Elephas maximus indicus: one gene and its partner. The protein of the gene in region 2 purifies or fractionates together with the protein of the main gene of each other region. This does not show direct contact. Links are inferred from orthologs where the notes say so. Each region holds a gene or a part of one and is shown on either strand. Other genes may lie near its edges.

Evidence for each region.
Region 1: the proteins of ARCN1 (region 2) and COPE purify together in Homo sapiens (affinity purification with mass spectrometry; 4 studies listed by BioGRID and IntAct, with this or other methods). This does not show direct contact. The link is inferred for Elephas maximus indicus from reciprocal best matches to the Homo sapiens genes ARCN1 and COPE.

Annotation. Positions count from the first base shown.
Region 1 is NC_064821.1:38,774,006-38,781,976, forward strand, and holds the start of COPE (coatomer subunit epsilon), read right to left. Parts: upstream 3,016-7,971; 5' UTR 2,981-3,015; coding exon 2,855-2,980; intron 1-2,854. Other genes in the region: probable ATP-dependent RNA helicase DDX49, read left to right, coding at 3,296-3,410, 7,733-7,856. UniProt on the Homo sapiens protein: The coatomer is a cytosolic protein complex that binds to dilysine motifs and reversibly associates with Golgi non-clathrin-coated vesicles, which further mediate biosynthetic protein transport from the ER, via the Golgi up to the trans Golgi network.
Region 2 is NC_064835.1:11,060,678-11,067,988, reverse strand, and holds the start of ARCN1 (coatomer subunit delta), read right to left. Parts: upstream 3,049-7,311; 5' UTR 2,884-3,048; coding exon 2,881-2,883; intron 1-2,880. UniProt on the Homo sapiens protein: Component of the coatomer, a cytosolic protein complex that binds to dilysine motifs and reversibly associates with Golgi non-clathrin-coated vesicles, which further mediate biosynthetic protein transport from the ER, via the Golgi up to the trans Golgi network.

The DNA of each region.
Region 1 (7,971 bases), on a different chromosome or scaffold from region 2:
CCAGGGCAGGAACCATCCCCAAAGCCAACTCTTCAGACAGGGATTGGACTGGACAGCAGGATAGAAAATGATGCTGGTGAAGAATGAGCTTCTTGGATCAAGTAGACATATGGGACTATGGCATCCCTGTCTGGAGGCGGGATGAGAGGGCAGAGGGGGTCAAAAGCTGGCAGAATGGACACAAAAAGAGAGAGCAGAGGGAAGGAGTGTGCTGCCTCATCAGGGGGAGAGCAGTTAGGAGTATATAACATGGCATATATGAATTTTTGTATGAGAGACTGACTTGATTTATAAACTTTCACTTAAAGCACAATAAAAATTAAAAAAAAAAAAAAAAAGGGTCAGTCTCAGGTTCTGACCATACTGTCCAGAAGGCCTGGGGAGACAGGACCACTCCCACGGGAAACAGGACCTCTCTCAAAATGAGAAAAAACAGCTACAAACATCCATTAACAATCGAGACATGGAATGTACAAAGTATGAATCTAGAAAACTTGGAAGTCATCAAAAAGAAATGGGACTAATGGATCACAGCTACCGTGGCTTCCACCAGACTGAATCTAGTACAACTAGATGGTACCTGGCTACCACCACCGACTGCTCTGGCAGGGATCACAATAGAGGGTCTCGGACAGAGCCGGAGAAAAAAGTAGAAAATTCTAACTCACACAAAAAAAACCCAGACTTACTGGTCTGACAAAGACTGGAGAAACCCTGAGGATATGGCCCCTGGACAAGTAATGAAGTCACTGTTCAGGTTCACCCTTCAGCCAAAGATTAGACAGGCCCATAAAACAAAACAAAGAGGCACACCAGCCCAGGGGCAAGGACTAGAAGGCAGGAAGAGACAGGAAAGCTGGTAATAGGGAACCCAAGGTCGAAAAGGGAGTATTGACGGGTTGTGGAGTTATTAAGCAATATCGTAAAACAATATGTACACTGTTTAACAGTAGCTAGTTTGTTCTGTAAACCTCCACCTAAAGCTCAAAAAAAAAAAAAAAGAAAGAAACAGAAACACGTATGGCCGTTTTGAATCAGACAATTATGGTCTACTATGCCAGACTGCCAAAAGAACGAACAAATCTGTATTGGAAGAAGTGCAACCAGGATGCACATTAGAAGCAAGGATGGCAAGACTGCGCCTTACACATTTTAGATACGTTGTCAAGAGGGATCAGTCCCTGGAGAAGGACATCATGGCTGGCAAAGTACAGGGTCAACGTAAAAGAGGAAGACCCTCAATGAGGTGGACTGACACAGTGGCTGCAACAATGAGCTCAAGCATAACAACGACATAAACCGGCAGTGTCTCGTTCTGTGGTGCATAGGGTCGCTATTGAGTTGGAACCGACTCGACGGCACCTAACAACAACAACGACATGCCGGAATGACAGCTTGAAGAGAAATGGCATCACATTCATTGTCAAAAAGAACATCTCAAGATCTACCCTGAGGTACAGCACTATCATTGATAGGATAACACCCATAAATCTACAGGAAAGACCAGTTAATACAACTATTCTTCAAACTTACACAGCAACCACTAAGGCCACAGACGAAGAAATTGAAGATTTTCAGCAACAGGACTACAAATAGCACTAATCACAGGCCGTAATTATGTATCCAAACCTTCTTCACTCACCATTTTTGGGACCTGAGACAGTGAAGGTGGGGCAAGGCCACTGCCATGTTCACTCTGCTTTAAAGGCTTGCCCTCAAAATCACAGCGAAGTCTACACACCTTCCTAAAAGGCCCTGCCGCTCCTCTCCTTTTACCTGCTTCACTCGCTGGGTCTTGCCATGCTGAATGATTTTCTAGCTCTTAAACAGCCAACCACCACCCGTGTGTCAGTGTGTCCTACTGTGGTGGCTTATGTGTTGTTGTGATGCTGGAAGCTATGCTACTGGTATTTCAAGTATCAGCAGGGTGGAATGGTTCAGTGGAGCTTCCAGAATAAGGAAGGCCAGGAAGAACCCCTTGGTTCTGAAAACCAGCCAATGAAAACTCTATGGATTACAATAAACCACTGTCTGATACAGTGCTGGAAGATGAGCCATCTGGGTTGGAAGGCATTCAAAATGCACAGTGGCTGCAACAATGCACTCCAGCACACTACAGACCACGAAGATGGTGCAGGGCAGGGCAACATTTCATTCTGTTATACACAGAGCCAGGGCCGACTGGGTAACAATAATAAATATCCAAGCTCACGCCCACCACTCTCCTTCACACCACTCTCTTGCCACTTCCTCACTTCGTGTTTCTTCTTTTCCGTCTGTCTTTTCTGCTAGGCTGAGATTTCCAAGAGAGCTGGGATCTTTGTCTATTTGGGTTATTGTCCCGAGTACTGCAAGAACACATTCCATGGCCCGTTCTAATCCTCAATAAGTACAATGAGTACTTTATTGAATGAATGAATGAGTTTTGGCAGAAACAACTGAGCTAGCAGGCAAAGTAATTATTTGGGGAAGCGACCCTCTCTCCGAGCCTTGAAGTGCTTGTCTGCGAAATAAAGATAAAGAGCAGTCCCCTCTTCACGGGGACGGAGAGTACGGCGGGCACAGTGTGCGCTCGACAAGTGGGACTTATCATCATCATCATATTATTATAAAGTGGAATAACTACCTCCCTCACTCGAATACATTCCCGGGCGCAGAGCGAGCCCTTTATAAACAAAGCTGTTACAGATTTAGACTTTGGAATAAGACAATGTTAATTCCTTGCCGCGCTCTTAAGAGGTGAGCGCAGGGAATATGCTGCGAGAAAAGGGAGAGTATTTAGCAGCTGACTGTGACCACAAGAAGCTGCCGGCACCTCCGCCCCCAGAGTCCCCCAGCCTCGGCACAGCCGCACCTTCACCCGCTGCGCCTCGTTGATGCACTGCTGGTAGCTGCCGATGTAGAAGGCGTTCTTCACGTCGAACAGCTCGTCCACTTCCCCGGAGCCGCCAGTGACCGGACCGGGGGCCGGAGGCGCCATGTTGCTGTCGTCTCACCCACTTCCCTTTCCGGAGGGACACGTCGGCCGAAATCAGGGACCGCCGCGGAGCATGCCGGGAAATGTAGTTTACTTGCTCCAGGTGACAGGGAGATGAACCAATGGGAAGCTCATAGATACGAGTCAGGGGGCGGAGTGCAAGCCTGTCCCGCACTGCATCTTGGGGAACGCATGAGGCAGCGGACGAAGGGGGGGATTGGCGGAGGGGGCTAGTCACTATGAACGAAAAGGCTTTCGTGACGTCATCGGCGCGCACCGGAAACGCGGCTCATTACCACCCCGCGACTGGGGAAGAGGATGCCGTGTTTCGCGGAGCTCGGGCTGTCATCGTGGCTAGTGGAACAATGTCGGCAGTTGGGTCTGAAGCAGCCTACGCCCGTGCAGCTCGGCTGCATCCCCGCCATCCTGGAGGGTGAGTGTGCCGGCCGCTTTCCCAGGAGGTGTCTCCGCTTTTCTCCCCCTCTCTTCCCTTCTCGCGGCCTTTGTCCACGCTGGTTCCGCGAGGTGAGGCGCAGTCTTGGGCGTTCCGGGCGAGTCTGGGCTTCGGAGGTGGACAGGGCGGTGTTGGCTTTCAGACCGCGTGGCGGACCTTGCGTCCGCAGAGACGTGACGTAACCTCTAAAGTTGCATAGTCTCAGAGCACAGGGAAGGTTGACCATTAAGTCTGGTCTTTTTACAAGTATTTGGGGTCTGCATCCCACTACTCTCCTCCTCCCTCAGGGGTTCTCTGTTGTGTTCCCTGTCAGGGCAGTCATCGGTTGTAGCCAGGCACCATCTAGCTCTTCTGGTCTCAGGCTGATGTAGTCTCTGGTTTATGTGGCCCTTTCTGTCTCTTAGGTTCGTAATTACTTTGCGTCCTTGGTGTTCTTCATTCTCCTTTGATCCAGGTGGGTTGAGACCAATTGATGTATCTTGGATGGCCGCTTGCTAGCATTTAAGACCCCAGATGCCTCTCTCCAAGGTGGGATGCAGAATGTTTTCTTAATAGATTTTATTATGCCAGTTGACTTAGATGTCCCCTGAAACCATGGTCCCCAAACCCCCGCCCCTGCTACGCTGGCCTTCGAAGCATTCAGCTCATTCTGGAAACTTCTTTGCTTTTCGTTTAGTCCAGTTGTGCTGACCTCGCCTGTATTATATGTTGTCTTTCCCGTCACCTAAAGAAGTTTTTATCTACTGTCTAATTAGTGAATACCCCTTTTCTTCCCTCCCCCTTCTCATAATCATCAAAGAATATTTTCTTCTCTGTTTAAACTATTTCTTGAGTTCTTACAATAGTGGTCTTATACAATACTTGTCCTTTTGCAACTGACTAATTTCACTCAGCATAATGCCTTCCAGGTTCCTCCATGTTATGAAATGTTTCACAGATTCATCACTGTTCTTTATCAACGTGTAGTACTCTGTTGTGTGGATATACCATAATTTATCTATTCATCCGTTGATGGGCACCTTGGTTGTTTCCATCTTTTTGCTATTGTAAACAGCGCTGCAGTGAACATGGGTGTGCATGTATTTGTTTGTGTGAAGGCTTTTATTTCTCTAGGATATATTCCAAGTGGGATATAATCCAAGTGGGATTGCTGGATCGTATGGTAGTTCTATTTCTAGCTTTTTAAGGAAGCGCCAAATCGATTTCCAAAGTGGTTGTAGCAATTTAGATTCTCACTAGCAGTGTATAAGTGTTCTAGTCTCTCCACAGCCTCTCCAACATTTATTGTTTCGTGTTTAGTTGGGAGGATTTTTTTTCTCTTTATGTTGAGGTGTAATCCATACTGAAGGTTGTGGTCTTTGACCTTCATCGGTAAGTGCTTCAAGTTCTCTTCACTGTCAGCAAGCAAGGTTATGTCCTTTGCACATCAGAGGCTGTGAATGACTATTCTTCCAATCCTCACGCCCCATTCTTCATATAACCCAGCTTCTTGGATTGTTTGCCCAGCAGACAGATTGAATAAGCATAGTGAAAGGATACGACCCTAACGTACACTTTTCCTGACTTTAAATTACCCAGGATCCCCTTGTTCTGTTCGAGTGACTGCTTCTTGATCTATGTACAGGTTCCTCGTGAGCACAATTAAGTGTCCTGGAATTCCCATTCTTTGCAGTGTTATCCATAGTTTGTTATGATCCACACAGTGGAATGCCTTTGCATAATCAGTAAAACACAGGTAAATATTTTTCGGTATTCTCTGCTTTCATCCAGGATCCACCTGACATCAGCAACGATATCCTTCATTTGATGTCCTCTTTTGAATCTGGCTTGAATTTCTGGCAGTTCCCTTTTGATATACTGCTGCAGCCGCTTTTAAATTATCTTCAGCAAAATTTTACTTGAATGTGATATTAATGATGTTTTTCAATAATTTCCACATTTGATTGGATCACCTTTCTTGGGAATAGGCATAAATACAGATCTCTTCCAGTCTATTGACCAGGTACCTGTCTTTCAAATTTGTTGGCATGGATGAGTAAGCACTTCTAGCACTGCATCTATTTGTTGAAACATCTCAATTGGTGTTCCTTCAATACCTGGAGCCTTGTTTTTTCGCCAATGCCTTCAGAGCACCTTGGACTTCTTCCTTCAGTACCGTCGGTTCCTGATCACATGCTGCCTCCTGAAACGGTTGAACATAGATCAGTTCTTTTTGGTATAGTGACTCTGTATATTCTTTCCATCTTGTTTTGATACTTACTGCATCGTTTAATATTTTCCCCGTAGAATCCTTCAATATTGCAAATTGAGGTTTGAATTTTTTCTTCAGTTCTTTCAGCTTTGAGAAATGCCAGATGTGTTCTTCCATTTTGGTTTTCTACCTCTAGGTCTTTGCACATGTCATTGTAGTACTTTGTTTTCTTGAGTTGCCCTTTGAAATCTTCTGTTCAGTTTTTTTATTTTATCATTTTCCCTTTTGCTTTAGCTACTCAAAGTCAAGAACAAGTTGCAGAGCCTCTTCTTACATCCATTTTAATCTTTCCTTTCTTTCTAATCTTTCAGTGTCCTCTTGCTTTCTTCATGTATGATGTCCTTGATGTCATTCCACTACTCCTCTTGTGTTTAGTCATTAGTGTTCAATGCATCAAAGCTGTTCTTGAGGTGATCTCTTAATTCAGGTGTGGCATACTCAAGATCATAATTTGGCTCTCGTGGACTTGTTCTAATTTTCTTCAGTTTCAGCTTGAACCTGCATATGAGCGATTGATGATGGTTTGTCCTGCAGTCAGCCCATGGCCTTGTCCTGACTGATGACATTGAGCTTTTCCATCTTCTCTTTCCACACATGTAGTCAGTTTGATTCTTGTGTATTCTATGTGACGAGGTCCGCGTGTATAGTTGCCATTTATATTGTTGAGAAAAGGTATTTGCAATGAGAAAGTCATTAATCTTGGAAGATTCTGTCATGCGATCTCCAGCATCGTTTCTGTCACCAAGGCCATATTTTCCAACTACTGATCATTCTTCTTTGTTCCCAACTTTTGCGTTCCAATCAGCAGTGATTATCGGTACATCCTGATGGCACGTTCAATCAATATCAGACTGCAGAAGCTGGTAAAAATCTTCAGTTTCTTCATCTTTGGCCTTAGTGGTTGGTACGTAAATTTGAAAAACAGTCGTATTAACTGGTTTTCCTTGTAGGCGTATGGATGTTATCCTATCAGTGTTGTATTTCGGGATAGATCTCGCAGTGTTCTTTTTGACGATGAACGCAATGCCATTTCTCTTCAACTTGTCATTCCCGGCATATTAGACTGTATGATTGTTTGATTGAAAATGGCCAATACCAGTCCATTTCAGCTCGCTAACAACTAGGATATTATCACATCAGCAAATGAAAGTCCTGAAAGCTTGACTCCATGCCTGTAATTAAGGTCAACTCTACTTTGAGGAGGCAGCTCTTCCCCAGTCATCTTTTGAATGCCTTCCAACCTGAGGGGCTCATCTTCCGGCACTATTATCAGACAGTGTTCCGCTGCTATTCGTAAGGTTTTTCACTGGCTAATTCTTTCCAGAAGTAGACCGCCAGGTCCTTCTGCCTTGTCTGTTTTAGTCTGTAAGCTCAGCTGAAACCTGTCCACCATGGGTGACCCTGCTGGTGTCTGAATACTTGTGGCACAGCTTCCAGCATCACGGCAACACGCAAGCCCCCACACTATGACGAACTGACAGACACGTGGGGAAGAATGCAGATTAGAGGAGGGAATCCCAGGTCTGGGAGGGAACCAGTATAAGGTGGTGGTGAGCAGCATGGCGTCTCGGGTCAGGTGGATGTGGCTTCCAGTCCAGCCCTGCTAGTCACCAGCTGCATGTCCCGGGCAAGTCTCCAAGACTCAGTTTCCCCTTTTGTTAAGTGAGGATGGTAATGGTGTTTCTGTTGTAGGTTTATTGTCGTTAGGGCTCAGATGTAAAGGCATAGACCAGGTGTTGCTTGTTAAATGTTTCAGTAAAAGAAAATTGCTTTGGAGTTGGCCCTGAGTCATGGCGACCACCTGTATGTCAGAGTAGATCTGAGCTTTGTAGAATTTTCAGTGGCTGATTTTTCGGAGGTAGATCACCAGGACTTTTTTCTGAGGTGCCTCTGGGTAGACTCAGACTGCCGACATTTCGGTTAGCAGCCGAAAGCGTTCATCTTTTGCACCACCCAGGGACTTCCATTCAGCCTGAGCTGTTGTGAACTGTGCCCGATGGAACCTTTGTTCTCCCTCTGGAGGTGTTGATGCTGCTCTGTCCTCTGCCAGGTCGGGACTGCCTGGGCTGTGCCAAGACTGGCAGCGGCAAGACAGCGGCGTTCGTCCTGCCGATCTTGCAGAAGCTATCTGAGGATCCCTATGGCATCTTCTGCCTTGTTCTGACACCCACCAGGTGAGCCCCCTGAGTGTGAGTTAACCAGCCATATTCACCTGGGCAAGTGCCTATACGTCTCTGAGCCACACTTTCCCATGTGTGAAATGGGGACAAACGGTGTCTGCCTCTTAGG
Region 2 (7,311 bases):
TGGCTGTAATCTTGACAGGAGCAGATAGCCAGGATTTTCTCTCGCAGCCGTTGGTGGGTTTCAACTGCCCACCTTTTGGTTAGCAGCCAAGTGCTTAACCATTACACCACCAGGGCACCGTTAGATTAGCTATGCAAGGCCCAAATCTAGCTTTCCAATAACTAATGACTTTTTGGAACTGAATCTACTATCATTTCTATTTAATGCAACCACCACCATAAGTGGTTTTAGGAACACTAGGGTCCTAATGAGTAAGTTTACTAGTAAGTTTACTCACTGCCTATTCTGAGCAAATAAGAAAAGAACAACACTCTGTAGATAAGCAAAGATTTCACAGATGGCTTGCTACCATTAAAGACTTAAATAACAACTTTATGCGTTCAAATGTAAGTTTATTAAGAAAAAGAACTGATTATAACATTATCTAATGTTAAGAATATTTTCTCACTAATTTGCAAAAAACTAGAAAAAAGATCCAATCAAAAGATCCCATTATTTCATTTTCTAACAGCCATCATAAGCCACCTGCTTTTGCATTTGTTCACCTATATACTCAGACTGTGTAGTCTAGGGCATTCTGCATATACTTCAGTAACTAAGGCCCAAACCAAAAACCAAACCAAACCCACTGCCGCTGAGTCGACTGGAGCAGAATTTCCAAGGAGGAGCTGGTGGACTTGAACTGCTGGCTTTTTGGTTAGCAGCTGAGCTCTTAACCAAGGCTCCAACTAAAGCCAAAAGAAACACTTATTTTTCAAAACCAACTTTTATGTGCAGATATCTGCACCTTACTTTGAAATGCAGAAAAAAAGATGCATGGAGGGATGATTAAATGTGTGATAAAACAAGGAGGGTAAAATGCTGGTTATAGAATCTAGCTGGCAGACATATGGGTGTTCACTGTAAAGCCCTTTCAACTTTTCTTATGTTTGAAAATTTTATAATAAAATGTTGAGGAAAAAAAAATCAACTTTTAGAAGTTTTGATAGAACTTTTAGTTCAAAGAAGTCCTAACAATACAAGGACAAAATTTTACCCTATTTGGATATTTTTACTGTCATAAAGGAGGAGGATTCAAAGACACTGCACAGAAATAATGCCAATGTCTTAGGACTCTACAGAGCAGAATGGACTGAGATTAAGTTGTTCTCCCGAATATACAAATATGTGGGTATCTGAATCATGCCAATTCCCAAATAATTCAGAAATATATGAATATTTAAACAGGTCACAACTGTATGTATGTACACATATGTCAAAATAACATATAAAATGTATACTTTATTGAGTATACAAAATGTATTTTTACAAAATCTGTACAAAATTGTATGCTCAATACCTACGGCTTTACCATTCCTCAGTTATTGGTGAATTAAAACTACTAAGTTCCAATGACCTTTTAACAAGCAAGGTTTTTATACAGATTATCTATATTTGATTTATATAATACAAGGCTTTAACTTTGCTATTAAAAGTATATGCTCTAAAACGCACTACAAATACTTCCAGTGCGTAAAAGGAAAAGGAGTTTAAAAATCACTGTCTGGATACTAAGCCTCCTAGTAGAATTGAAAAAAAAAAAAAAAAAGTTTTTGGATATTTTGTGTGTAACACAAAAGTTCTATGAATCAAACCTTTCAGTGGTTTAAAACCCAAGCATGAATCCCAACACCACCCAGGTTTTCACCTAAAAAATTGTTGATAGCACTTACTATGAATAGCACCAAATTATACTGCCATCCTCAAGGAGTTAGGAAGATGCTTTAAAGCAAATTATTAATCTATTGGCAAAAAAAGAATTAAAAAAAAAAAAAAAAGAACGCCCTTTAAAAGACTGAAAGGCATAAGGTGCCCTAAAAAATTCTTCAGTAGCTTGTTTGGAACAGACTAATTTCTTCTACTTCATCAATGTCCACAAATCAGTAGTGATAAAGCAAGATTCAGTGGAATCAACATTGTCGTGTTTTGTCCTATTCTCACCTGCATTAATTTTTTCCATCTCTACAATGGATGAGAGCACAAAGATAATGCAACTAAAGGCTATGTAACAGGTCTCAGCGTAAGGCCCACCCAGCCCTTTACCCCTTGTCCTGTGAGACATCTAATCAATCATAAGCCACGTACATATTTTCTTCACCTGAACAATAAATGCCTTGAAGACAGAAATCCTGTCTTCCGGTAACTGACTGACATTTCCCCAGCGTACGCTCAGTCACAAAGACAAATGGATACAAGCAGGTTCTATAAAAGTGGTCGAAGTTTTCAGGAGCCCTAACCAAAAACCAAACCCAACCCAGTGCCGTCGAGTCGATTCCGACTCACAGGATCCTACAAATTAGTGTTAGAAGTTACTCCTCCCCGGTCTATGCCATTTCCCCCAATCGGACAAACCAAAGTCCTGAACACCAACCCATTTGTATTTCTACATCAATGGCCTATCAAACACCAGGGATGAGAGACAAGCTGAACACAGAAGGAAGAGAAGCCCCCTCAGGAGAGGCCTATGCTGCTGAGCCGAAGCGTCCACGGAAGCGACCCGGCAGTAGCGCCGAAGTCCGCAGCGCAGAGCCCAGAGGACATCGACGACAAGGTCCTCGCAGAGCCAAGACCCTGCCCCGTCCGAGCTGCCGGGTCTAGAGAAGAGTCCAGCCGGTTGGGGTGTGGGGAGGGTGCGACCACAGAGGGACTGGCGTCAACTCCCTCGGGCCTCCCGGAGGCCAAGAGCGGGGGTAGGCCACACCGCTGCCCGAGCCCGAGGAGGGCGCCTGGCTCGAGGCCCTAGGGGCGCGGCTCCTCTGGTCCCCGTACCAGCCCGGCCGGCAGTGAGAGGGGGCGAGTGAGGCCCAGACCCCGAGAGTTCGAGCCCGGCTTGGGTCTTACCATGGTGACGGCGGTGGTGGGGCGCACCCACGCTCCGGCTGCACTGGGCAGAGGGCTGGGGTTAGGGGAAGGGGAGCACCGGCCGCTCCGGACCTGCCGCCCCCCTGACAGGAGCCGCCGCCGCTTCGCTTCTTGCCAAGATGGCGGTCCCGAGCCACGTCTCCAACCGGAAACGGCGCGGGTCAAAGGACGGAGGGCGGGGCTTGGTGGGGTGGGGAAATTGAGGATACCCGGCTGCAAGCCCCACGCGCAGGTTACGTCCCGGCTCGCCTGCAGACGTGGAACTTGCATACATCTGTCTTTTCACTGTTTGTTATCGCCTCAGTTTGAGTCACCTCTGAAACATTTTATAAAGCCGCTCTCATAGACACTATATAATTTAATATTCAAAATAACCCATGTGCACAAGGCGCTAGTATCCAAAATATATAAAGAATTCTTATAACTCAACAATAAAAAGACAACACAATTTAAAAATGGGCAAAAGGTTTGAAGAGACATTTCTTCAAAGAAGAGATACAAATGGCCAATAAGCACATGAAAAGGTGCTCCATATCTATAGTCATTAGTGAAATGTACATCAAAACCACAACTAGCTATGACTTCACCCCTACTAGAATGGTTACATTAAGAAAGATGGACAATAGCAAGTGTTGTGGAGGATATGGAGAAATTAAAATCCTCCTACAATGATGGCTTTGAATTATTATGTAGGCAAAGAATATTGAATGTACCATGGATTGCCAGAAGAACAAACAAATCTGTCTTGGAAGAAGTACAGCCAGAATGCTCCTTAGGAGCAAAGATGGCAAGACTTTGTCTCACGTACTTTGGACATGTTATCAGGAGGGACCAGTCCCTGGAGAAGGACATCATGCTTGGTAAAATAAACCAAAACCCATTGCCATCGAGTTGATTCTGACTCATAGTGACCGTATGGTAAAGTAGAGGGTCAGTGCTGAATGATATGGAGTGACACAGTGGCTACAACAATGGACTCAAACATAGCAACAATTGTGAGGGTGGAGCAGGACTGGGCAGTGTTTCCTTCTCTTGTATGTAGGGTCAGTCTGAGTTCGAATCAACCCCACAGCACCTAACAACAACACCACCACACATTGCTAGTTGGAATATAAAATAGGGTAGCTGCTTTGGAAAACAGGTCCTCAAAAAGTTAAACAGAGTTACCATGTGATCCAGCAATTCCATCATATGTCCACACAAAAATTTGTACACTAATGTTCATGGCATCATATAGCCCAAAAGTGGAAAACCCCAAATGTCCATTAACTGATAATTGGGTAAAAAAAGTGACATATCCATACAATGGAATATTATTCAGCCGCAAAAAGGTATGAAGTACTGATACATGCTACAGCATGGCTGAACTTTGGAAATATACTGAGTAAAAAAAGCCAGGCACAAAATAGCCACTTATTGTATGATTCCATTTGTATGACATGTCCAGAATAAACAAATTCATAGAGACAGAAAGTAGATTAGTGGTTGCAAGAGGTGGGAGTGAGGTGAGATGGGGGTGGAGACTGGGAATTAATGCTGATGGGTACAAGATTTGAATGAAAATGTCCCAGAATTAGGTAACAGATGGCGGCTGCACAACCTTGCCAAATATACTAAAAATCATTGAATTGTACGCTTTAAAATGGTGAGGTTTTTCTTGTGTGTGTGCGTGTGCTTTAGGTGAAAGTTTATAGAGCGAATTAATTTCTCATTTGTTTTGTGACATTGGTGGCCAACCCCAAGATGTACCAACACTCTCCGCTTCTCCATCCTGGGTTCCCCATTTCCATTCATCCAATTTTCCGGTCCCTTCCTGCCCTCTGTCTTTGTTTTTGGGCTGGTGTGCGCATTTAGTCTGGTACATGTGATTGAACAGAACAAGAGGATACTGATCGGTTTAAAGTCAGGAAAGGTGTGCGTCAGGGTTGTATTCTTTCACCACACCTATTTAATCTGTGTGCTGAACAAATAATACGAGAAGCTGGACTATATGAAGAAGAACGGGGCATCAGGATTGGAGGAAGACTCATTAACAACCTGCGTTATGCAGGTGACACAACCTTGATTGCTGAAAGTGAAGAGGACCTGAAGCACTTACTAATGAAGATCAAAGACCACAGCCTTCAGTATGGATTACACCTCAACATAAAGAAAACAAAAATCCTCACAACTGGGCCAATGAGTAACATCGTGATAAATGGAGAAAAGATTGAAGTTGTCAAGGATTTCATTTTACTTGGATCCACAATCAGCAGCCATGGAAGCAGCAGTCAAGAAATCAAAGGACACATTGCATTGGGTAAATCTGCTGCAAAGGACCTCTTCAAAGTGTTGAAGAGCAAAGATGTCACCCTGAAGACTAAGGTGCGCCTGACCCAAGCCATGGTATTTTCGATGGCATCACATGCATGTGAAAGCTGGACAACGAATAAGGAAGACCGAAGAAGAGTTGACGCTTTTGAATTGTGGTGTTGGCGAAGAGTATTGAATACACCATGGACTGCCAAAAGAACGAACAAATCTGTCTTGAAAGAAGTGTGGCCAGAATGCTCCTTAGAAGCAAGGATGGCGAGACTGCGTTTTACATACTTTGGACATGTTGTCAGGAGGGATCAGTCCCTGAAGAAGGACACAATGCTTGGCAGAGTACAGGGTCCGCAGAAAAGAGGAGGACCCTCAACGAGGTGGATTGACACAGTGGCTGCAACAACGAGCTCAAGCATAACAACGATTTTGAGGATGGCGCAGGACCGGGCAGTGTTTCGTTCTGTTGTGCATAGGGTTGCTATGAGTCGGAACCGACTGGGCGGCACCTAACAACAACAATGTGATTGTACTACGAAGCACTTTCCTCGAATGTGTTATTGTTTACTCTATAAACCAAACCTGTTGTCACTGAGTCGATTCCAACGCCTAGTAACCCTAAGGACAGAGTAGAACTGCCCCATAGGGTTTCCAAGGAGCACCTGGTGGATTCGAACTGCTGACCTTTTGGTTAGCAGCAGTAGCTCTTAACCACTATGCCACCAGAGCTGAAAGGTGAACCTCAGGAGTGACTTCAGTACTGGGTTAAAAAGGTGTCAGAGGCCATAGTCTCAGGGGGTTCGCCAGTCTCTGTCAGACCAGCAAATCTGGTCTTTTTTGTGAATTTGAATTTTGTTCTACATTCTTCTCCTTCTCTATCCAGGACACTCTATTGTGATCCCTGTCAGAGTAGTCTGTGGTGGTAGCTGGGTACCATCTAGTAGTTCTGGGCTTAGTTTGCTGGAGGTTATGGTAGTTGTTGTCCATTAGTCCTTTGTACTAATCTTTCCCTGTGTCTTCAGTTTTCTTCATTCTCCATTGCTCCAGCCAAGATGGAACCAATAGATGTATCTTTCATGGCCGCTTGCAGTCTTTTAAGACCCCAGACACTTCTCACCACAGTCAGATGTAAACATTTTCTTTATAAACTATGTTATGCCAATTGAGCTAGATGTCCCCTGAGACTATGGTCCCCACCCTCAGCCCAGTAACTTGGTCCCTCAGAGAGTTTGGATGTATCTGTGAAGCTTCTATGTCTTTGCCTTGGTCAAGTTGTACTGACTTCCCCAGTATTGCGTACTGTTTTACCCTTCCCCAAAGTTACCACTTATCTATTATCTAGTCAGTGTTTTTCCCTCCCCACCTCTCCCCTCCCTCAGAACCATCAAAGATTGTTTTGTTTGTTTTTTTCTGCACGTAAACCTTTTCTTGAGTTTTTATAATAGTGGTCTTCTACAATATTTGTCCTTTTGTGATTGACTTATTTCAGTCAGCTTAATGCCCTCCAGATTCATCCATGTTATGAAATGTTTCGAGGATTCATCATTGTTCTTTATCATTGGGTAGTACTCCATTGTGTGTATGTACCATAATTTGTTCACTCATCCATTGATGGGCATTTAGGTTGTTTTCATCTGTTTGTTATTGTGAAAATGCTGCAATGAACATGGGTGTGCATAGTCATGTGACAGCTCTTATTTCTCTAGGATATATTCCTAGGAGTAGAACTTCTGGATCATACAGTATCTCTATTTATAGCCTTTTAGTGAGGTGCCCTATCATTTTCCATAGTGGTTGTACCATTTTACATTCCTACTAGCAGTGCGTAAGAGTTGAAGTCTCCCCAAAACCTCTCCAACATTTGTTATTTTCTGTTTTTTTTTTTTTTTAAATTAGTGCCAGTAATGTCGGGGTGAGATAGTATCTCATTTCAGTTTTGATTTGTATTTCTCTGATGGCTACTGATCTCGAGCATTCCCTCCTGTGTCTGTTACTCACCTGAATGTCTTCTGTGGTGAAGTGTCTGTTCATATTCTTTGCCCATTTTTTACATTGGGTTATTAGTCTGTTTTCTTTTTTTTTAGATGAAGGTTTAGAGAACAAACT